Schizosaccharomyces pombe: one gene and its partners. The protein of the gene in region 4 purifies or fractionates together with the protein of the main gene of each other region. This does not show direct contact. Each region holds a gene or a part of one and is shown on either strand. Other genes may lie near its edges. The genes, in order: apc5, cut20, cut4 and mad3.

The links.
Region 1: the proteins of mad3 (region 4) and apc5 purify together in Schizosaccharomyces pombe (affinity purification with mass spectrometry, with the first as the bait; one study listed by BioGRID). This does not show direct contact.
Region 2: the proteins of mad3 (region 4) and cut20 purify together in Schizosaccharomyces pombe (affinity purification with western blotting; 7 studies listed by BioGRID, with this or other methods). This does not show direct contact.
Region 3: the proteins of mad3 (region 4) and cut4 purify together in Schizosaccharomyces pombe (affinity purification with western blotting; 2 studies listed by BioGRID, with this or other methods). This does not show direct contact.

Annotation. Positions count from the first base shown.
Region 1 is NC_003424.3:3,400,169-3,406,129, reverse strand, and holds apc5 (anaphase-promoting complex platform subcomplex scaffold TPR subunit Apc5), read left to right. Parts: upstream 1-1,987; 5' UTR 1,988-2,138; coding exon 2,139-2,339; exon of another isoform or gene 2,340-2,400; coding exon 2,401-2,505; exon of another isoform or gene 2,506-2,553; coding exon 2,554-2,890; intron 2,891-2,934; coding exon 2,935-2,994; intron 2,995-3,080; coding exon 3,081-3,174; intron 3,175-3,218; exon of another isoform or gene 3,219-3,224; coding exon 3,225-3,992; intron 3,993-4,042; coding exon 4,043-4,169; intron 4,170-4,203; exon of another isoform or gene 4,204-4,216; coding exon 4,217-4,312; exon of another isoform or gene 4,313-4,358; coding exon 4,359-4,659; exon of another isoform or gene 4,660-4,705; coding exon 4,706-4,851; 3' UTR 4,852-5,039; downstream 5,040-5,961. Other genes in the region: rpl2102 (60S ribosomal protein eL21), read right to left, coding at 5,106-5,588.
Region 2 is NC_003424.3:4,040,696-4,046,552, forward strand, and holds cut20 (anaphase-promoting complex platform subcomplex scaffold WD repeat subunit Apc4/Cut20), read right to left. Parts: upstream 3,930-5,857; 5' UTR 3,725-3,929; coding exon 3,487-3,724; exon of another isoform or gene 3,439-3,486; coding exon 3,219-3,438; exon of another isoform or gene 3,177-3,218; coding exon 3,054-3,176; exon of another isoform or gene 3,034-3,053; intron 2,963-3,033; coding exon 2,905-2,962; intron 2,879-2,904; exon of another isoform or gene 2,860-2,878; coding exon 1,339-2,859; 3' UTR 1,114-1,338; downstream 1-1,113. Other genes in the region: prp12 (U2 snRNP-associated protein), read right to left, coding at 1-1,069; MutL family mismatch-repair protein Pms1, read right to left, coding at 4,205-4,440, 4,482-5,738, 5,810-5,857.
Region 3 is NC_003423.3:388,403-396,537, reverse strand, and holds cut4 (anaphase-promoting complex platform subcomplex scaffold subunit Apc1), read right to left. Parts: upstream 5,629-8,135; 5' UTR 5,550-5,628; coding exon 1,173-5,549; 3' UTR 501-1,172; downstream 1-500. Other genes in the region: protein mug2, read left to right, coding at 7,807-8,135. UniProt on the Schizosaccharomyces pombe protein: Component of the anaphase-promoting complex/cyclosome (APC/C), a cell cycle-regulated E3 ubiquitin-protein ligase complex that controls progression through mitosis and the G1 phase of the cell cycle.
Region 4 is NC_003421.2:995,187-999,495, reverse strand, and holds mad3 (mitotic spindle checkpoint protein Mad3), read right to left. Parts: upstream 2,081-4,309; 5' UTR 1,809-2,080; coding exon 876-1,808; 3' UTR 657-875; downstream 1-656. Other genes in the region: SUA5/yciO/yrdC family protein Sua5, read left to right, coding at 1-554; vcx1 (CaCA proton/calcium exchanger), read right to left, coding at 2,680-3,553, 3,610-3,974. UniProt on the Schizosaccharomyces pombe protein: Component of the spindle assembly checkpoint which is a feedback control that prevents cells with incompletely assembled spindles from leaving mitosis.

The DNA of each region.
Region 1 (5,961 bases), on a different chromosome or scaffold from region 4:
GTCAGGTTCTCTTATTAGCGTCCTTAATGAAGTTCTTCAACATCGGTATAACTAGTAGCTACAAATGCCTTAGGGAATTTAACGATGTCTATGGTTTTGCATCCTTTATTTTTGGTTTAGAGAATATAATGGTGCTTTATTATTATATGATACTGAAAATAACAAGAAATTGCATTAACTTCTAAAATAAAATTTGACTAGGAACCCTTCTTTTATATATACATGAATTCGCTAAGTCCTCGGATCCCTCAATCCGGTAATACGCTGCCAAATTGAAAGAGTTCAAATCGCTTTTTATATCCGGCTACGAAGGGGGATCTATTAACCAGCATATTGACAAATTCCCGACAGCGATAATGATTTTGAAGGGGAACGGATAGCTGCATTCATGGTTTCAGGAAACGTGCAGAACTTTTTCTCTACGGAAAAAGAAGTTTGGTTTCAAAATTTTACAAGTAAGCGAGTGCTTACGATTTACTTGTGTAATAGAAAAATATTAATGAATGTTGTTAAAACTGACTTTTATTATTGATATCCCCACGTGGATGTCCACATTTCAAGTTGAAAGTGCTTTTCATGAGCGAGGCTTCCTGTCGAAGATTTAACTGTTTAACCCAAGCGTTGTGTAGAGGGGTAAGATGAATTAGTAGAAAAACTTTAGCTAATATTTTAATAAATTTAAAAAATGAATAGAATTAAGCGTAGCTTAGACATCATTTGAACTTGCACGCTTGTATGATTATCCTTTTTCCTTCGATCGTTCGCTTACTTGATCAAAATGCCTAGCATTTAATTTACAATAGGGACTTTAGTGCATTTAGAGTATACGTTAGAGATTAACCATACTTCGATTGTGTATTTCTTTGATTTCCAATTTTGAATTTAACTTACCTTACTTATAGACAAATATAACCCAATTAACATTTCTTATTCACAAACTTCGAGAGCTAGTTTTATTGCATTCGTTTAGGTAATACAAAACGAAAGTCTACTACAACTGAAATGGTGCTTTCTTTTTCTTCCCAAAATTTATTTATTTACCTTTCTGTCATTAAATGTTGGTCAGCAAATCAATTTGATAATTGTCAAAATGTTAAAAGGGCTTTGTGTATATTAAAAAAAAAAAAAAAAAAAAAAAGAATAAAAGCAATATTTCATCATTTCAATCAATTACTCTATTACTATCAGCTATGACACCCGAATTCTATGCCTACTTATGCATATTTTTAAAAAACCATATAAATAAAAATATGCACTTTTAAAAGGTAAAGGTTAATCGATTTTATTGGATTTATTTAAATAGCATTATTTTAAGCATTGATGATATTTTTAAAATGCATCATAATGAATATCTTTTGAAATTAATGCTTCACAGTTCACAATTAATACCCAAACAAAACATGAGTTTATAGAGACGTGAGTGATTTTTAAATAAAACTTTTCATATGATTATTACTCAATTTAACCCAATAGTAAATAAATTTTTTGTGTGTGCCTGCGAAAAAAAAAAAAAAAAAGAACTATAGAAACAATAAAGATGACAAGGAGAAAATAAAGAATAAAGAAAATCTCTTATAAAATTTGATATCTCAAGCTTTTTATTATTATTTTTGTCCGTTTGTTTATTTTTGTTTACGAACATTTATGAAGACCACTTTCAATCGTGGATAAAGCTGTAAAAATGATGCTTAAATAAAATAAAAATATTGATGATTATGATTATTAACTATATTGAGGTAGTTTATATATCATTCACAATTTCGGTAAGTTCATATGTTTATGCGTATTGTTGACAAATATCACTGAAGAACATAGGAGCAACACAAATTGAAAGAAATAAATATCCGAGAAAATATATCATTCTTGAAAAAATATTAAATTTTTACGTTTACTTCTAGAGATTTAAATGCTTGAATAGTTAGCATATCTTGTAAACATAAGACTACTTACCATAATACTCAACCATCGCACTTCTGAACGTATACATGCCATTTACATATTACTGTTCCAGCCTTCTTCGATAAAGAGGTTTTATTTGGTACATAGAACATTCGAACTGTTTGTGATTGAGAAAATTTGGTGCATTGCTATAAATTATAGGATTGAGAGACGATCGTGTACTGCTTACCTATTTAACCATGCAGAGTCCCGCGATGTCAATGGTAACACCAATATTTCCCATACCTTTAAAAACAAATTCTTCAAAAAAAAATTTTTATACTACCTTTTTGACACCACATAAATTGACGCTATGTTTGCTTATTGAACTTTATGCCCATCGCATCATTCAACCTCAACATTGTGTGCCCTTCCTAGATTTGGTATTGGGATATTTTAATGTAAGAACAACTGACTGAAACAAGATTCTCTTAATCTCGAGTACTAACTGTATATCTCTAGCCCAATGACTCACAACCACAAACACTGACTCGAATTCACGACATAACAAGTCACCTTCCCAGTTCAATTGAAGAATATAGCGTTTACAGTTTATTGCATGAACGTGTATGAAAGAATCATATCAAAAATTGTATTCTAACAACTTTGTTTTAGCTATGGTCCTTGCATTCTTTTGAAGATATTCATGAAATATTCATTTCTCTTGGAAACTACATAGAAGGTGTTTACGATTCTGAAGAAGAGGCCCCCCATATGCTTTTTTCATCGTCTTCACTTTTATCTATTTTCCTTCGAAAGTGTGTTGTGGAATACGAGCAGTTTTCATTCGAACAAGGGGTTCAATTCTTTAAATCATTTCTTCAATACAGAGCTCCCTCAATGGATTTTCAACATGAGGGGATTGAATTCTGTAAGATTAATGTTCGTCATGAGTTAATGAATTTGGCTAGCAATAAGACTCTACTACAGTTGGCATTTGGAAGTATACCAGGTTTGTTTAGTTAATTTGAAATTAATTTTTCCTAACTTTTCTAGTTTCTCGTTCTAGTCGGGATATTGAACAACTCACTCAAGTTCAAATTGAACACATGCAAAGTAGGTTTCATTGGAAAATTTTTAACAATTATATTAACAGCTTTTTAATGCATATTATCTAAGCACTTATTAACTGATTTACGCAGAATTTGGATGTGCTCTTCCATTGGAAATGAAAGAAAAATTGCATGATTTATTAGAAGTTGAAGAAAACAATCTAAATACTAGCTATTATTGCAAGTAAGATACCAAGCACATCTTTCCTGCTAGCAATTAACTAACATACTAAGATTCTTAAATTCCTGGTTTAGTGGTGATTATCAGCAATCCGTGGAAAATCTTTGCAGATATTTTGATCACATTATGCATTCTGATGAAAAGGTTTCTTATCAGTACGCTCTCCTCAATCTTGCCATGCTTCAAGCCGATTTTGGCTGTAATGAAGAAGCTCTTCATGCGATTGAAGATACGATTAATACTGCTCGTGAAAGCGGCGATACTGCTTGTCTTAATTTTGCATTGGCCTGGATGTTTGAGTTTAAGCGGTCACAATACTCGAATCCTTCTCCAGAAAAAAATGAAAACGATGATCAAATACTAGAACATCTTGCGCGTAATAGTCAAAAAGCTCAACTGCCTATATTACAGACGACAGTTCATCTCTTACAGGTCCAAAAATTTTTAGATGATGGATCTAGTTTAATTGGCGTTTTCTCTAATTTGACTAAGGCATTTGCTTTGTTTTGTGCTAATGAATCATTCGATGGTTTCCCTCGGTATATGGACTTGCTACAAAGCATTTGGTATCGTTTAGGATGCTCTATCCTTTCCATGACTTATATTTCGATCTATCAAAAAAATCACGTCCATGATTCTCCTGCACTCGACCTATTACAAAGTCTTATAACTAAGGCATGGAGGTACGCTGAATTAGGAAGATGGTTAGATGTTGCTACAATTTTGTCGACTGCTGAGGTTCAATCACAGCGTTCTTTTCAATGCGCACATTTATATGGCAGAGAAAAAACATTTATCTACTTATCTAAGGCGATTGACGAGTAAGAAATCATTGTTTACAAAAATCAGAAAATTTGCTAATTTTGAAAAGGAAAAATCATATGGATGCTACCCTGTATTTGAAAAATTTAAATGGCTTTAGACACGACAAGATGTCTACTTTTCGAACTCAACTCTACGCTTTAAGGTTGGATATTAGTTTGGGAAATTTAAGTCAGGTAATTAACAAAACATTCGTACCTACATATACTAAACGTGTTACTAGGCCATTGAAGGAATTGATAAATTATTGGAAGAACCGGAAAAACTGGCGATTGAATGGGTGCTGCAGTTGATGTTTTTAAAGGTTGACATTTATATGGTAAGGTGAAGGCTGATTTTAGGCTTATGCTAATGTGAGTGTTTAGAGGACTGAAATGTCAAATCGAGCTGTTTTTGAATTGCTGGAAATAATTCAAATGGCCTCATCAAACTATTTAAGATTGTATCTTCTGAGAGGATTATGCACTTTGTGCTTGATTGGGGAACTGGATTGTTTTACAGCTATCGATCTATTAGATTCACTAATCCCTGACATAATTGCAGCGGATAACAAACCATTACTTGCATTAGCATTTCATGCATTTGCTTCTTTGCAGATTAAACATCTTGACCTTTTGCAGCCTTCACGAATGTTTGTCATTCAGTTGCTTGATAGTGCTATTGATGGTAAGTTGATCAAGATTTTCGAGTTCAATCTCTAATGATTAAATAGGTTATCGGGCCTGTTACATGGTAGAGATGCAAAAAACTGTTGTCCGCCTGAAAATTCAATATTTACGACAAATTAATGATCCTGCACTCCAGCCCAACATTGAGCAATATTGTTCTCGATTCTATTCCGACAATTTGCTAAACTAACACTCGTTTAAATACGATTATACCTTCATACTTTTAACGACAAATCAGCTAATAAATATAATTAAGCAACGGATACTCATGATTAACTAAGATGTACATATATATATTTTATACTAAACGAGGATACGAGCACAATAAATATACTACTTTGTTAAGTCGATGTACAAATGCATTTACAAAAATACAACAATTAAAACTACGAATAATGTCTGATTATTTGATAAACTCCAAAGGAACAGCATTCTTTTTTAAAACTAGATAGTAGTATCATAGGCGACGGGGTGGAGAGTGACGGGCTCGTTATTCTCAGTAGAAACGAAATGAGCCGTAGCAGGAGGAGCAGGTTGACGACGAAGTTGAACAGTCTTACCCTGAGCCTTGGCCTCCTTACGCTTAGCCTCATTGGCCTTAACACGGTCCAAGAAGTCTTGACGGCACTTAGAGTGCTTAACGTGCTCAATACGAACATTGACACGCTTCTCCATGTAGCGGTTACCAACAACCTTGTAGATCAAGACACCAACAGAAGATTGAGTAACGTTGTAAACAACACCAGTCTTGCCATGGTAGTACTTGTGAGGCATACCCTTTTGGACAGCACCATTAACCTTAATGTCGACAATGTCACCAACCTTATAGGTCTTCAAATAAGTGGACAAACGAATTTGACCATGCTCTCTGAAACCACGTTGAAAGGTGTAACGGGTGCGAGCTCTGATACCGTAAGAATGAGGCATTGCTGTTCCTGGTTAAAGGCAAAGTACGCACGGAAATTCCATATGGTTTGTGGTGAAACTTTGTGACTGTTTTTAGTTCATTAGAGCACGTTGTGCATACTTAACACCAAACTATAGTGAATAGGCATAAAAAAAAGGTAGAAAAAAGAAAAATATTTAAATGCAGGAATGAATTATCCAATTTCATGTAAGCAAGTAGGAATTAATGTGCATTCAACGATAGAGTATGATACTATGTTTTTGGGATGCAATAGATAGCTAAGTAATCAATTACCTGTTCAATCTCAATTTCTATTTCTACATGTGAAACTTTTTATTATACGACTTAAACCAGTTCCCTTCTATAGCAGAAAAACAATTTACAATGTAAAAA
Region 2 (5,857 bases), on a different chromosome or scaffold from region 4:
GAACTGCCAGGGGAACTGTATCAAAATATTTTAACCTTAGTTCAACAACATTCCCTTGACCATCATGCTCGATTGTCAGCTTCAGCAAATCCCCGTCACCAGTTTGTAAAAGATAAAAAAACGATCCTTTCATTTTATGGAGAACAGCACTAACAATCAAAGGACCATCATTTGCAGAGTTTGAATTGACTTGATTCCATGGAGTGGATATGGCGTTTGCCGATGCAGCTTGACGACGCAAAATGGGAATTTGATGAAATGCCTTCTGAAGGTGACGGTAGGAAATCCATCCGTTAGATATTACTAGTGTACCGGAGGGCCCATCATTACCACCGGGAACAGGGATTAACATATAAGAATTTCTGTCAACGACCTTCGACCATCTTTTGACAACATGGTTTAATCCCAAATCCAATTCGTAATATGATAAAACCTTTTCCGAAGATGTAAATGCTTCTCTAGTTGAGTCATGGTCTATTTCGCTGTAGTCGACTTCTAAGGCAGCGAAGATGGGATTAGCATAACCAGTATCTAACCCAATTAAATGGAAACATATATTATTAGCTTTATGAGCTTCAAGTGGTGAAGATATTGTTAGGTTAGCCTCTGAATCTCGATTTAGTACGTAAACCAGCTTATTTTTCTCCACAGATGCAATCATAGCGGCCCTCCCCTTCGCATCTATGGCTAAGTATTCACCAGGAACAACTCTTCGAATTCCTGATTTTCCAAAAGTTTCCTGGTATATTGGCACTAATTTATTTTTTTCAACGTTATATTCCAAAATGGTTATTCGTCCTGAATCCGACGTGACTACGAGATAATCGCGTTTAAAACCAGTTAATCTCAAAGGAGCAACATTTCGAATAATACCAAAACAATTTTGATTTAAAATACAATTCATTCTCCCATCAGTTGCATCAACTTTATATATAAGCAACCTTGATTCTGTAGCAATTACTATCTCCTGTGCCTTTTTACCAGACAAGGACGCGGCACACGAACTTTGAACATAATTACTATTCTGTATTGTTAAGGAATATAGAAACAGAGAAGGGAAGGTGTCCATCTCTATACTTTAGCTGAAACACGATCCTCGCTGAGAGAAGAAGTCAGTGTATCAAGGAAACTTATAGCAGAAGGTAAAAAACTTCGTTATATGTTGACTTTTCTAAATGAAGTTATTGCAATTGAAAATATTGTATAAATTTTCTGCTTTTAAATTATATTAAAGAATTAAAAAAAAGAAAAGAAAATTTAAAAGACCGCTACAAAAAATGTAACTTGCTCTTCAAAAACAAGAAAAAAAAAACATTACGACCATTAAACATAAGCTCATTAAAAAGAGAATAAACGATATCTCGAAGATTCCCTTGAAATAAGGACTCCGTAATCGCTATTCTCAGAAAGGGCATATTCGAGTGTTGAAGGAAGGAAATCCTTCTCAAATTCATGCAGCCATAGGCAACTGTTTAGTGGAATGAAAGGAAGATGACTGATAGCATCAAGGTAACTGTTTTTTTGCTGGTGCTCAAAAAAGGTTAAGGGAACGTCTGCTAAGCAAATTTCACATAAGAAGCACTTCTCCTTTAGTTTTCCAAGTATTAAAATACTACTTCCGTTTAAAAGCTTCATGTCTAAAACAGTTGCGGGCTGGAAATCCAACAGACTGCTTCCTAGTAATTCTGCATAATCCAAGCCAAAGTGGCATCCAGATACAGGCAACATAGTATTTTCCATAAGTTGGGAAATTATTAAGAATATATTCGGAGTATCCTTTCGAAAGAATAATGAAAATAATTGGTTTTTTTCATTACAGGATTTTGGTATAAGAGATGATACATTCCAATCAGTCCCTTCAAACAAAACAAGGTCTCCGGTTTTTAACCATTGCTTTTGACAAGTTAAAGAAGGGTAGCTAAAAATGACGTTGAATGAGTCTCTTAAAGATTCTTTCAAGGTTTTGAATGATACGAAATCATCAACAGAATTACTGTCGTCTTGATTTGCAAAATCCTTGAGAGAATAATAATCAGGATCTCTTAGCTGAAGGGGTTTTGTGCCCATAAAGTAACTTGTTAGTTTCGAGCGGAATAAAGAATGACGAATATAAATTACGGTTTCATTAATATGTTCAATAATCTCTTGCGGTGGAATAGAAGATGGTTCAGAAGTATTAAACTCGACGATAGCGTAATTCAACCATGAAATAAAGTGCTTCATATACTTTTTTTCCTCAAAAAGGCAATTGAGAAACGAAAAAACATTATTCTGTAAATAACCCAAAGTTGCTAGACAATCTTCCACCAATTTAGCATCTAGTAATGTGTTTCCCTTCATATGGCCCCATATTGACTTTCCTCTGGCAGAAGATAATAATACAGTTAACCTTTCACAAGCAGGTATTACGAATTCCTGACAGAAAATGATTAAGGACGTGTACGAATTCACCATCGCCCGTTCCCAATTTTTTAGTACTCGATCACCGACTCTTTCGTTGATCCATTCTTTGAGTAAGTCGCTGGGTATACCGTTCATTATAAATTGATATAACTCTAGTTGTAAAGAAAAGAAAGTTGTGTCACTGTACTTGGACACTAAAGCATCAAAGGTTTTAATAAAGCTAGCTTCTGATTTGAAGACATTGTCAAATTCTTCATACATAGCATTCAATACCTCCTCAAGATATCTTACCAAATGTTGCATACGTGTAGACATTGTTGCAATATCCACAATACTTCCCAAATCATTTTTAAGTAATGGCATATAAAGTGTTTTCAAAGAAATATTCGTTCCTCCTTTACAAATAAGAACATGATATGCTAAGTCGTTGGTTATGCTGTGTGAAATGGGAACCCCCTATAATTTGTGTGAGCAAGACATTTAATAACATGGGTATAATACCAAGTTCAAGGCTGATTTCAAAGAATCGCTTTCTCCGATTTTGTAAGACGAAAACATACTATGAATAGTTAGTACTTCTAATTTGTATCGATCGATAAAAAAACTTCTTTTAGAAAGATGCTAATAAATAAGGGGTTTTTGATACGCACTTTATGTATCTAATTCCACGTTCATCCAAAATACTTAAGAGCTCAACTTTTTTGTTATTTTCACCCTCTCGTTTCCTCGGCTCAAAAAATTGTGCGATTGCTTTTGAAGAAAATATACGTTCCCTAAAAAATGTAAGAGACAAGTCGCTTTGTGTTACTACTTACTCTTTTGCCGAACTAGGAAGTGTACCAAGTAAAGGCATATATGCAGTGGCATCAAATAAAAAATCATTGCGTTTTTCATTTACTATCGTTTCTTGCATGGCCCATGTTATCATTAGAACCGCTAAATCTCTGGAAGCTGGCCTTTGCTCAACCAGATGTCCTGTGGAGGAATCAATAATTTTAAGCTCTCCATTTTTAAATCCAACAACTATTAAATTCCCTATTTATGTTAATGATACAAAAAAAGTTTTCCAGTCGAGCCACGTACCATCGTGATTCCAACACAATTCAGTAGCCTCGAGATCATGAAAATCGACATCCCAAATTCTTTGACTGTTACTTCTACAGCAAATCAAATGATTTGAACACGTTAATATCGCAATGAGTTCCATAGAAGGGCATAAGATTACTCGTTTAAGGCCACTTCCAACCCTTTCAACTCTATTAGTTTCATTAATCCATTCAAATTTATGCTTTTTAGGGTATTTGAAAGATTTTGACACCATTTGGATAAGACTGGATGATTTTGGTGATTCGTAGAAGTTTGTTTATTGTAGTACAGCAAGTCAATAAAAGCCTGTTCAGGTATATAAAATATCTAGTGAATGGATAGTTTCAACAATTATCATACAACCTTTTTAAATTTGCTAGCATAGATGGTTTATTAGGAAGTAAGACTGATATTGCAAAACTGAAGTTGATGAAAGTTGTAGGGATACAAAACATTAAGAAAGCGATTATCCAACTGTGCATACCTCGTTAGTACGATGTTTATTTACATCTAAAGAAAAATCATTTCCTCATGGTTCAAGTTCGCTTAAAATAATTCTTTAATGATAAAAATTTCAATTGAGTTTGGCAATAAGAGATTCACTTTTAATAATTGCTGATTGCTATGTTTTAAATACATTGTAAATAAACCAATATTATTCATTAATTCAATAGCTGAAATTCTAGAATCGTTAAAAAAGTCTTTCTTTTACGCATTATATATCTTTTAATCGAAGGAGATGCCTCATAGTTGGCCTTCCATGAGGGCAATTCCAAGGCTTGCTCAACTCAGCAAGATGCCTAACTATTGTATTCATTTCGGATATAGTTAGAGCCCTACCAATCATGACACTGCTTCTACAAGCCTTTGAAGCAAGCATTCGCTCAAGCCTACTACTAAATGGGTCTATCTGTGGGTGCTCAGACAACACACTGATGATCTCTAGTAAATCTACAGAAGTTAAAGGTCAAGATCTTCGTTAATAAACTTACCACTAGTGTCAAAAATGACATTCTTACTCGTGGGAACTGAAAGAAGAGTGCAGCGATTACCAACTCGCTGATTTAAATCTATAGCAACGCCGAATCCTTTTCTTCGAATTAAATCTATATGGTCAATTAAAACAGTTTCCTCTGTAGCAGCTAAATCCAGTCTTTTTGGAAGGACTAAGTCTTGGCTGTTGATAACTAAATTACTTTTGAGATGTTCATAGTTGAACTTTTCATCGCTGGCATGTTGATCAATTATAAACAAATTGTTTCCATGAACAACCACTATGAATCCTCTATTGAATTGACCAACAACCCTCATTCTTAAAAAATCGGCTTTATGTACAGTTAGATTCAAATGATCTTCCTGATTTTCATCTGAAATATCATGCACCACGCCAATCTTGTTCGAAAATTTCAGTAAGGCATCGCTTCGAACAATATCTTTTTGCACTCCACTCAAAGATATATTTATTTTTTTACTAAACTTGTTTAAACCATCCAAGGGCCTAGATTGAAAAAATTTGAGCTTTTGTAGCGCTGCAGTTTTTGACGGAATTCTGTTCGCAACACTGGTTTGCTCAGTACGAGGAATGCTCGAGAGTGTGGAAACTGATTCTGCGTTGTGTACCGACTCAATCTCGTTTAAATTAATTGTTTTAGCAACAGGTGTTGATGCTGGACTTGGATCATTTAGTAACAAATTGTTAGGATTCGAGCTAGGTTTATTGATGGGTTGCTTTAGTGGGAAACTAGAGTCTATTGTTTTCTGCATAGAAGTATCAGTACTAGAAGCGAATAGGGCAAGCTTTTTCTTCATTCTTTCGGAAGAGGCCGTAACTTTTTCGTTTAATGGGCTACTTCGTCTCATAGAATCCTTTTGCAAACGCTCTGGCAAAGGTTTGGATACTTGTGCTAATGACGCTCCTTCTGCAACACTAGTGGATATTGCTGGTTGAGCAGTAGCTTCTACGAGCTTTCTTTTACATGGTGAGCGTTTATAAGAAAAACTTGAGTCATCACTTGTTTCGGATTCTGTTGCTGGAATTGACTGAGGCAATTCCTGATCTGTACTGTCTCCAGAGGAATCAGGAATTTGCGAGGAATATGAAAAAATGGATTGCGATCTGGAACAAGAAATTGCATGTCCGCAGCTTTCACATAGGTTTTGCAAGGAGTTTTTAATAAATTCAATTATGGAATCCTCTTCAGACAAAAATACAGATTTTTTGTCTGGAGATACATTGATGTCAATAGTTCCTAAAATAATTGGTTAGTAATGAGTGAACGTATATAGATTCTCTCAAACATAGTTTTTAAAGTGAACATACCATTTGTGATGCGAAGATTGATGGCAAAAAACGGGGATTGTGCCATAC
Region 3 (8,135 bases), on a different chromosome or scaffold from region 4:
TGTTATTCCAAAAGTACAAATGAACACGAACGATAATTCGATACACCTGAGACAAAAAATAAGAAGATAAGCTAAATCGACTCTGAGTCCTTCAAAGATAATCTATAGCAGACAAAAATAGATAACAATAGTTATAGCAAGCGTTCAAAAATACAAATTAACATAAACCGACGTTACAGATTCACGGTTTTCACAACAATACTGAGCCTTTCACTCTTAGCGCAGAACCAAAGGTGTATTAAGTAAAACTACAAGTCTTTTTGATACAGAAAGCTTTTGTAGAATTAGCGGCTTTCGAGAAACGAGCTATTCACACTTCCTATGCGTTCGCAAGCTTCAATTTGTGTTTTGCTAACGAAAGAAGTGTTGTGTCATAGGATGCAAGGTTGAAGTCATGCCCTTACTACCCCTCAAAAACGAAGGAATTTTTAATGAGGCGAATAATCGTACGTAAATTATAATAGGGGAATTTAATGTAGATCGTTACAAAACTTCAGCATCTCAGTGCATGTCGGATTTAAAGACTTCTATTTAAATTTTAAGATTGAATTCGTCAGGTGGATTTAGATGGTTTAATACAGTGTATTAATTATCGGGTGTAATTCATTAAATTATAATATTTGGAACCGTTACTCGAAAGTCATAGATTCGAACATCAAGAACTTATGTAAACAGCATACAACGATATAGTGTTAGTTAGTAGCTCGAAGTGTCATGCTTAAATCAATTAATTAACGAAAGGAGGGAAAAGATATAGAAAAAGGATAAAAAAGCTAATCTATTTTCAACGGCGCCTTGAGACAGGCGGTATTACCCCTTGAAGAACCATGGGTGCTTAGTAGTTGTCGCAATAATATTCTTTTTACTTTGCCCAGTGAAATAGTTTGAGCATCAGTATTCCAATTAACAATTTATTATTAACTTCGATTTCCTTTTAACAAACCATTATTTGAAGATAGCTATTAATCATGATCGTGAAAAAAGTGTTGCATTGGATATGCCACCTTGTATATTAATTGAGACATTAAGGTATTTATACAAGTCGTTAATTTTAAGGGGTTCTATTTTTTTAAACTTCAATTTTCCTTTTGAAGGATTGATATGATGGAAAAGATTTTTGGAAACCATTCAGCCCATTAGCATATCATATAATTAATAAACGTAGTTCATAATTATACAGATTCTTCATTATGATTATGAGAATACACATACTCCCATACTCTCAAACTCAAATCTTCTACCAAATCACGAGAAAGGAAAAGATATTGACGGGAGTGAAACTTATTCAAGAGCACACCAGTCCAACAAGACTCAAAAAATTGTAACAGTATTTGCAAACTTAATAAACGGTCTCTAGTTAAATTATCAAAGTCCATAGACAGGAGTAATTTAACGCCTAGAGAAGTTTTATTATTTGATTCTTGTAACGATGCAACGTTTAAGGGGCTATTCGAGCTTTGGAACAACCTGCTTGTTTTTACCAAGTTCCAAAGTGGGCTTGAGGTATCTTTAAGCTTAGGGAATAGATTAAGTGGCTCTTCTTTTGAACTTGTTCGGTCATAAGGCATCAGTGTCAGTGTTTGTGATTCCCTTAATAGTTCACGGTAATCACTGTTATTGTCCAAATCAATTTTTAAATTCCAATACTTATCACCCAACGTCGACACTGAACTAATGCTATCGTACGGCGGCAAAAGTATAGGCGCTTCTAGTTTTTGAACTGCGCCGCTTTTTTGAACAACATTTAATGGCACTATGCATGGCTGTTTGGTATCTTGATTTCTCGGGATAATACAACGTTCTTCCACAGCTAAAGCCCACAAATTTCGAGCAGCTTGCAAATGTGCACGATTATCTTGAGTAGTCCTGGGAAATTGCGGATAAAATGATATTAACAAAGCCGCGATTGCTAAATTACTGCGAGACAAACTATACCTTCCTCCACCTAGCGAAAGAATTCCGAGCGCCATATGAGTAGCCATTTGAGCCCCGTAGTTCACAGGCTCCATTCTCCCATGTAGTACTCTTAACCTTCTCAAAACATCTAGATCACAATAACCCGCCATAACACAAGAAGAAGACAAAGCGACAATTTGTGTACAGCGAATTACAGTCACTGCAGTTACTCTTTCATCGTGTGTTTTAGCAGGCAGATGACACAACCGAATGAAGCTATCTAAAAAGTTGATGAGAATTTCCTTGGCTTTCGGATTACCCGTTCCAGCAAACCTTAAACCTAAAGAAAAACAAATCCCTGCTAAGACATTATAAAGCAGCAAGTCGTCAGAAGAGAGAACCTTTTTTTCCTGTAAATCAAATTGTGAGAGCATTATATCAGGAATTTGATATTTCACCCATTCATAATCTGCTTTGACTTCATCCCACATAATTAAGTTTTTACCGGCAACTCGCAAAAGTATTAGATCTGGACGATAGAAATCAAGAAGATATCGCGATTTAGGAATATCAATTTTTTTCGCAACTTCCAAATCATTAGTCTTCATATATATCATAGTCAAAGCCATAATGGCCCCGGGAGAACCGGCTTCTAAAGACTGAAATGTAGCCTGACTAGATATTCCCACTTGTAGCCTTGAAACGAGTTTTAAATCAGACATGCCTGGAAGATTAGATCCTCTCCCTAAATTAATTAAACCAAGAGAAAATCCAGCAGCTAACTTATAGCCTTCATTCTTTAGTTCGCTTTCATTAGAAGCCAAAATCTCTTCCATGGTCACTTCAGACATGCGTCTATGACACGAATCATGAAATAATAAACCAATTCCTAGAATTCCTGCAGTCTGAGTTAATGGTGAAATATTCAATTCATTAGATCCAACTGGCAGTAATGCTGAAATGTGCACACTTAGCAATTTTGTAACCTTTGCATCCATACTCCCCAAATACGAGGATGCAAGTCCAAGTAAAAGGCCTATACTGGTTGTATCATGCTTGCTAGTAAGATAAATAAAAGAATGCCAGGTAGCAAGGGCCTTTAAATGACCGTTTAGCCCTAGACCAAAAAGAAATCCCGCATGGTAAGCAGTCAAAGTTTCAGGTCGATTGAACATAATCCAACTAGTGTTTATTTCCTTTGAAAACTTAGATATCGATAATCCTAATGCAACGCCAACATTAAACTCTGGCCACTCGGTTAATTCCTGTGTTACGAACTCTTTATTAGGTTGTATAATTAAAGTTCCAGGATGCAAGTGCAATGTAAAATTAAATAATCGTGGAGTGACCTTTTCCGTAGGTAAAGGATTTTTACTACCATACGTAAGCATACCCGCTCCAATTGGCACGGACAATGTTCTAACGCAAATGCATTGAGCAACTTTTTGTTGCATTGGTACTGAACTCAAGTCGACATCAAAGTGTTCAGTCATTATGGTGATTTGACTTGAATAATTTAAAAGTTTATTCACTTCTGCCAGTCGTCGATCCTCTCTAAAAATCATATCCGTTACAACCTTATAAGGATGAAACGACTGCGTGTCAACAAGTGTAGAATCGGTAACTGTACTAGTGAGTGCTTTTATTTCTTTGACTTCTTGATCCTGCTTATTAAAAACCCATTTAGGTGTCTTTGGATGTAAGAATGAATCAACGTCAAGGCGATTGACTAATCGAAGCTCTTCGCTTTCCCAATTCGGAGAATACTCTTCAGCGGCAATCTCGAGTACTGTAAAAATAATGCATAAAATTCCAAATGGGTATCTTTCACACCTCTTTCTTGAAATTCCTAACCGTACCATTTCTTCAACTAAGTTTTGAAGGGTCATATTAGGATTTAGCAAGCAATCGAGTAACTGCATTAAAGAAAGGGTTTGGGGAAACATAGTAGAGCAAGAATGTGGTAGCCCATAACTTTCCAAGCCATAAAAAGGTACTGTAGATTGCGACCTTAAACATTCAATAATCCACTGTAAAATCGATGTTGGACCAACAGGTTCCTCAACATCAACTTGAATCGATAAGGGTATAGATAGAAATGTTTCAGCGATATCAAAGTTATAATACTCGCAATACCGTGGCCACTTCAACCACGTGGTGATTTGAAGTAATAAAGCTACAAGCTGATCTTTACGAGGCTTTACAACCGAATCCAACCGCAATTCTTCAGATATAAAATGTAAGGTAATAGCTAAGGGCATCAAGTAATTTTTGAATGTTGAGTAATCAAGATGAGATGAGAGCTGAGAAGCAATAAGTATTTCTTTTTTAAAATGAAACTTAGAGGACAGACTGTAAGCTTCATTGCAATCTTCAATTGGTTCAACATGAACTTTATCTCGAGAAAAGAAAGTGAAACAGGCGAGTATTGAAGATATGAAAGCCTCATCATGGCTAAGCTTAAAAGCAAAAAGCGCGTAAAGATGTCCAGTATAAAAAATTTCATATTCACGCAAGGGCAAAACATAACGAATAACACTTAAACACCATTTTACCAAGCTATTGGATGCTCTGTTATCTAGAGATATATACCTCTGCACTCCATCGGTGTCCTCTAAGTAAAGTGTGGCACCATGCACACGAAATGAACGAAAGGTACCCTCAATAGGCAAAGATGGCGACATTGGAGACTCGAGACTCACCTTCCCCTTTGAAGACAGAACAACAATTTTTTGCAAATGCTTAGATTTAATAGCACTCAAATTTATTGCATGTAGTTGAAGCGAATCTAAGAAGTAAGGAGATCTGTCACGAACAAGGCGAAACAACATCATGTAGCCTTTTTCAAGCTCTTTCACTAAAGTGGTGATGACCAAAACACCATTTCCAAGGATTGAATCAAACGAAGTACTTCCGGTGATAGGAAAAGACTCTATGTGAGAAAATATGGTCGAATAAGCGAGTCCTTGTTCCTCGAATTTTTCAGAAAGACGAGTATTGGCGGTATAATGGATAGAATCAGAGCGAGTTAAGTCAGGATTCTTTTCACGAGAAAAAGAGCTTTCCCTTCTTCTGTTACGTGAGCTTTTTATTGACTGGTCTGACTCTGGATCAATAAAGCGACTCCTCCAAAAACTCAATTTTTTTTCTTTTTTATTATGTGTTACGACGATCTCTCCCACGACATAAACGATTGAATCAAACAGAGATAGTATTTTTTTTCCGTCAAATTTTATTAACGTAAGTTCATCTAAAGGATCGTTTAGACAAAAAATATGAGGCAAGTCAGTATTCAGATTCTCATCGCTCGAACGATGACGCTGAAGATATAGTCCACTTGGTGAACTCCATGCGCTTTCTGTTGAAAAAGGAACGTTTATAATATAAGAATCATTATTATTGTCGCCCACATAGTATACATATCCAATGTCGTCCAGAATCACAACAATTGCCTTTTTTCCAGATGCAAATGTAGTAATAAGGGCAGCATGTATCTTTTGTTGATCTACGGTATAATTAAATACACGATTTAAATGGTCATTCACAATATAATGCACAGCATCTCCAATGATTTCAACCCGATCATTCTCTTGCAAATCTAATGAATCCTTTAATTCAGGGTCTTGAATAACATTTGTTTTTAATTCTAGCATTTCAGCATCTAGTAACGATAATCAATAACTCAGTTCCGTTTACAATTTCGCATTTCCTTTTTAGCATGAAGTTGTAGGTGAAATCTGAGTGTCAGCGTATATCTAGTGTAAACAAACCAGCATCTCTTACCAAACTTACGTTAGCTAGACAATTAAAAAGTCAACCTACAGAACTTAGTGCTTTTACAAAATCAATTAAATTTAACTTGGATCTTTATATTCCCCAATTCCAGTATTTATCACGCATTGGTTTATTTGAAGACTAGAAATCTTTTTTTTGGAATACTGATAATTAAAAATACTCTAACGGGAAATTGTTTTATGCATTAAAATATCATTTTTGTTTCTCTTTTTTACAGGAATTTAGTTATAAAATCATGTCGATATAGACGACCGACTTGCCATTTCAAACTACAAGTCAGTACTTACATCCCCAGTGTCGAGGATCCATATGGAATATAAGATGCCTTACTATAGGAGTGTGTACGACAAAAGCAAGCAGTAAATTCCTTGAAGTTTAGAGTGAAGGCTTTGGGTGTTTCTATCATAACATGCAGGACTACTTAGACATTTTATTACTGTATAAAGGTTGAGCCATATAGCTGTATAGGGGGATGTAAATAATATTTTACCATACTTTATTCATTTATTTATGAAGATTTCAATGTTAAATATTATTTGGGTATAATAATGTTTGCTATATAAAAGGTAATTTCTGTCTACAGGATAATTATAGGTGCTAAAGCATAAAAGGTAACGATTGCAAGGCAATTTGTTTTTGGTCGAGTAATAAACAAAAAACTTCAAAATGAAGGACTTGACTATTTTTAAATTTTACTAACTTACGACATTTTTAATATGGAATGAGCTTAAGGATCTTTTGCCATCGTCTTGCATTGTGACAAACTTGGTGAGTATTCTGCTAATTTTCTAATATCTTCCATAAAAATATTGCAGTAACTTGAATGGAACAAGTGGTTTGTGCTTGCCTCTCGTTTAATCCTAAAGGTCACTAGTTTGTTTATATATTAGTTTGTAACATGATTATAGTAGAAAGCGTCACGAAGTCAGCGAAAAATTAAGAATTGAGGAACAAATCTAACTATGTATGAAGTGAGGAAACCCTTAGAAACCGAACATACTTGCAATGGGCTCTGAAGGCAAAAACTCTGCAACCCTGGAGTATCAAAAATGTATTTGGTATTCAGAAAAACTCTGCTTCAATTTGTTCTCATTAGCTTCGGTTATATGTTGCTTAAATCTACAACAATGATCAGGCCCCACATTTCAATGATTTTTCGCGAGAGAATAACTCTAATGAATTTATGAGTCGCATATTGACTATATAAAGCCAGTGAAACAAATGGCTTATAATGCAAAAAAATACGGCTATGAGCCTTCTAAATTAATATCTCCATAAAGTAAATATCTTAGATAATAAACTGTGGATTTCTTTGCAACAATTTCTATGCTCTATAATGTACTATCCATCCTGCTTTTGCAATAAATAGTTTATCATAATTTAATATACTTACATTCTATAATGTCAAATTAGCATGACTTGTTGAGGTTCTTTATGTTAAAAGTTAATGATACAATAAACCAGAGCAGCTAATGTAGGAAATTCAATGACAAACAAAATAGTCTGAAATAAAAAGAAATGATTTTTCTATAGACCCAATTAGTAATTCTTTGAAATGAAAAATGATTGCGATTGATCCACCAGAAGTTATAGAACGCTATGGGCAATATTGTAACAGTCATCCTTAGCTATTTACACAAAGGAAAATATATGACAAGAGATTTCTTTAGTTCGTACTTGATTAATCTCTCAGACAAATACAAAAAAAAGAATTATACTAAGTGTTTTCTTAGTAAATAGAACTCGGTTTCAATACCCAATGGTTAAAATAAGACAATGATTGGTATAGACAGTAGAATAATCGGCTATGTATACAAAACGGTTTTTATGCTTTCACTATAAAATATCTCAGCCTAAATTCTTAAATAACCTTTATGTTCACAAGATATTTCATTCTTTGTACATACAATTTAGAGCATATAAAACATCGGTAAAGCGCGTTAAAAATTTTAACGGTTTAAAACATGGCTCTCAATTGTCAGGGATTCACATCTGTTTACATGTCATGGGAGTTTATAAATGATCCAGTACAACATCTTTTCTGTATGGAAGTAGTTCCCCTTTAAGGGAATAATATTATTGATTGTCTTTACTATTTTCGAGCAACTTTTCAAGATGAAAAAAGAAAATTGGCAAAAAATTGAAAATGTGTATTTATTGGGAAAAAAAATTGATAAGGCCAAACGGATGGCAAATAAGGGTGAATCAAATACAAACATGCTCTCAACAGAAGAGAATATAGTCAAAGCAAAAGCTGTTTCTCGCAAAAAACCAGTTGACGTTTCTTACGCAGGGCTTGCAAGACATGAGTCTCATGTTGATACCGATTATCATGGGCAAGCCCTTAATACGGATAATCAAGATCCTAAAAATTATCAAGCTAGGAGCTTTGTAAAAGAGAATGAGCTTTATGAATCATCTCAAGACTGTGGACATAGCAGATT
Region 4 (4,309 bases):
GCGGTGTTGGTGTGGAGAGTACAGTTGTAAATGGACTTTGTGATCCTCCCGTAATTTTACGGCCAGGAGGCATAAGTTTAGAAGAAATTCAAAGCTCTGGAGGGGCCTGGGAGCGAACAAAAGTATTCGTAGCTAAAAAAAGTGATATGGAAACAGATTTCATCCCTCAAACTCCTGGTATGAAATACAGACACTACTCTCCAACTGCCAAAGTGCTACTTTTTGTCAATTACACAGAATCTGATGCATACGGTGTTTTTGAAAAGTATTTATCTGAGCAGGGAATCACTAAGGAAAAGCAGAAGATTGGTGTTTTATGTAGTAAACGTTGGAACGAAGAGTCATTCCCTTCTCACTGTCCGTTTGTATTTTTGCATATGGGAAGGGATGGACATGAAATTACAAAGAATTTATTCGCTCAATTGCGAGATTTGGATCTGCAGGGAGTTGATTTTGTTTTGGTTGAAGGTGTCTCCGAGGAAAATGAAGGGCTAGCTATCATGAATCGTTTGGGCAAAGCTGCTTCTGTGGTTTTTGAGGGGCCTTCTCATTAGTTAAAATATTTATAGCTAAGGGGTCTTAGCTTTACTTGTATAGAGGTGTAATTACTTATCGAGCTATCTGTTTATTATTTTGATAAATTGTCTATAAAAGAATTATTTATATCATATTCATTAACTTATGGCTGACTATAATTAATTTGAGAGTAAAATATAAAAAAAAGCTGCAAATCGTAGTATAAATAAGATGCTTTATGTTAAGTTCGTATAACCCTTAAAATTCGCATGTTTCAACCTATTTCTTATTCCGGGAGTCATGATGTACAATAGTTGTTAATCTAATAACGCCAATACTTTAAATCTTTTCTTTATCGGTTATTCTTTCGATACTTCCTCATCACAATGAACTTGAAATTTCCCAAGAGGGTCCAATTTTCTTGGAGATTTCAAAGGCAACTTTTCGCCTACCCAAGAAGTAGCCGATATGTTGTTTTCTTTACGCCTTTGATCAACTGTACCAAGAGTTTGCCAGGTCCCAGGTTGGCCATCCTTTCCAGAACCATCCGCATCTGAATAAACAGAAAATTTAAATTTAGGTTTAGAAATTTTAGTCCTAGACTGGGATATTTCCTGGATATTTGTTGACTCAAATGTCGTTTGTAAAGGATTAACCGAATTTGTATTTGAAGAGAATGATTGTGGGGCAAATTCCAACCAACGGTGAGTAAATTGCTGATACTTTTGCTGAAATCTCAAAAATGGCTTAGCCTTCATTCTTTTTCCTTTCTGATAAACTTCGTCAGCTTTTTGAAACAATCCCCTAGACTCGAAATAATTTGCGTATTCCTCATAAAAAATCGAGGACTCCTGTCCAATATGATGATGTGCCAAGAAAGAAAATAATTCAACCGGTTCGTCTATATAGTTTACATATTGCATCCATATTCGTAAATACCGAACATCATCTTTATAAAGCGGATTTCGTACGAATTCTCGAGTACACCTTTCTAACAATGTTACCAGTCCACTAGTTTTTGTTTCACCTTGAGGGAAATTATCCAAGGTCCATTTAATATAATCGATCCAAACTTGTAGTGGATCATCAAGAGACTCGCTCGTCTCTATTTTTCGTTCATGGCCCATCCTTTCTTTTTGCAGACCAGCAACTTCTTTTTCGGTGTGGTTTCGCGACGAAGATTTTGCAAGTGCAGAAGCTGAATGACCAGCTTTTCTAGGCTCTATGTTTTCCTTGGACTGCTCAATGACATCCATATGCACCCAGTTCTTGCCAGCATCTAATGGTTCCATTTGTAGTCAATGTCTTCCAAAAAATTAGTAAACCTTTTCTAGAGAACCCTATACCTTCCACTAAATGAAAATAAATAAAACAAAGAAGGAGATGTGAGTGTAGTAGTATTGGAAAGTTTATTTAGACAAGTACAATTCTATTGAAAGAACGAAAATAGCCAGTATATAGTTTAATAGAAGGTGTACTGAAAGCTTTTGTATAAAATTAAAAGTGTCAACACTCAAAGAGCAAGAGTAGGAATGTATGAAAGATTGTGCGTAAATTAGAAGGTAAGTGCCAACTTGACGCTGGGGGAGGGTATCATACTTACGCCTGGAAGAGTCCAATGAAAGAGATAAGAAGTTTTTTCTGTTTCTTCGAATATACAGAAACAGAAGAAGAATTAAAATTAACCACTTCACATACTAATGGCTTGTATTATTAAATCATGTAAAACACAACCTACAAAACAACTAATAAAAATAAACAAAATGAAGATTTATAAACAACGATTTACAAGAGTTTATTCAAAAATTAATTTTCTATTTTCATAGCTGGTAAGACACATGAAACTGAGACTGAAGAATGAGCGACTTAAAAAGCTACTGTAAACAAGCAGATATTGGCTTGACCTGCAATAGAAATTTAGAGTTGTGTAGTCATTGCGAAAATGGGAGATTTCTGCATAATTTAACACTTGCATACTAAAAAATAAGTCTGCAAAATATCCTTGTAACAGAAACCAAAAAAAAAAAAAATCTAGTATAAAAAAATAAGAAATCAATAAGTTCGGTATGATAGTTTCGTAAAGTAAAACACAAAGAAATCAAGAGAGTATATCAAGCACATAAGAGTAGACATAATAAGGAACTAGCGAGGGAACGACAAAATTTATTGAGGGTAGTAGAAAAAGGCGAGAACAACAATCGCATACAAAGCAAGTAATTGAACACCTTCAAGCCAATGAGTAGCACCATCTTGTATCAAGTAATTAACCAAGAAAACAGACACAAATAGAATAACTGTTTCCAATGATTCAAAGTAAAGTGTTAAAGGTTGGGAGATGATCCATCCGACGATTACCAAGAAGGGAGCTAAAAACAAAGCAATCTGAATACTGGAACCAATAGCAACACCCAAAGCCAAATCCATTTGTCCTCGGTAAGATACCACGATTGCAGTAACATGTTCGGCAGCATTTCCTACAACAGGAAGGATGACCAAACCAACGAAAGTTTTTGAAATGTTAACTTCCTCAACCAATTGGTCTATCGAACCTACTAAATAGTCTGCGCAAAGAGAAACAAAAACCGTGACGATAGCAAGCATGGCAATGGATGAACGAAGGCCTAAAATTCGAGGTTCAGTTTCTTCTTCCACTTCACTGGGATCATGACAGACATGCTTATGAGTCTTTAATTGGAAAACTAAAAGTAAAACATAGACGATGAGTACAATAACAGCAGTTCCACGAGAGACATGGAGAAGCGCATTTTCGCTATTAGCGTTGTCGGGAAGGCTGTAATGGAAAGTCGCAGGAATCAATATGGTAGCAGTAGATAAAGCAAGCATTGCAATCATAGTTTGTGCAACAGTGATATTAAATGTGGTAATTTCACGACGAATACCAGTAGTTACGAGACACATTCCAAAAACAAGAAGCAAGTTGGATAATATTGATCCGAGAAGGGACGATTGAACGATGCGGAGCTCTCCTCTTTTCAAAGCAAGAACGCCTACAATGAGCTCGATGGCATTTCCAAAACTGTACACAACGTGTTAATAAAATAACAAAAGAAGACGATAAAGTAGGAATCTTACCTAGCATTCAACAATGCTCCCAATGTTGGTCCGCTAATTATAGAGAGTTGTTCAGTAGCAAAGCTAAGCAAGGATGCAAGGGGGATAATAGCAAGCATGTTAAGTATGAAAACAGATTTAGCGTTCCATTCAAACCATCCTGCAATTAAGCCGATCGGAACAAATACCAACATCAAGTTAAAGTAGCTAGACATCAAAACAGATTTGGTCATGCCGACCACGTTTAAAAGCGACAACTGACGAGCCATAGAGTGGTCATACTCTGATCCCAAGAGAGGGGCTCGTTCATGTCTATCCTGGGCGGGAAAATTAAAAGAATTCATAGCTTCAAGTCTGTTCTTAGCAATCTTTAATCTCTCAATCATGTTAGTCCAATTCAACTAATGTCAAGTTCGGCGGCTACTTATAGGACCCGTTTATACGATATTTTGCAAACCGAATACCTCTATGTATAAGCCAAAGATTTGAGGATTCATAAAACTTTAACTTACCAACTATAACAGTCAAATGATCTAACCTTCGGCTATCAAGGGGAATTCCGTTATAACAATCTGATATCCCTGTAAATCCTGAAAGCAAATAAAGACTCCAGAAGCAATCAAAATCGTAGAATTTTTACCCTATATTTCTAAAAAATTAATGCACTTTAAAGAAAATACAGAAATATGAGAAAACAAGAATCGTTTAACGCTTGCAGTCG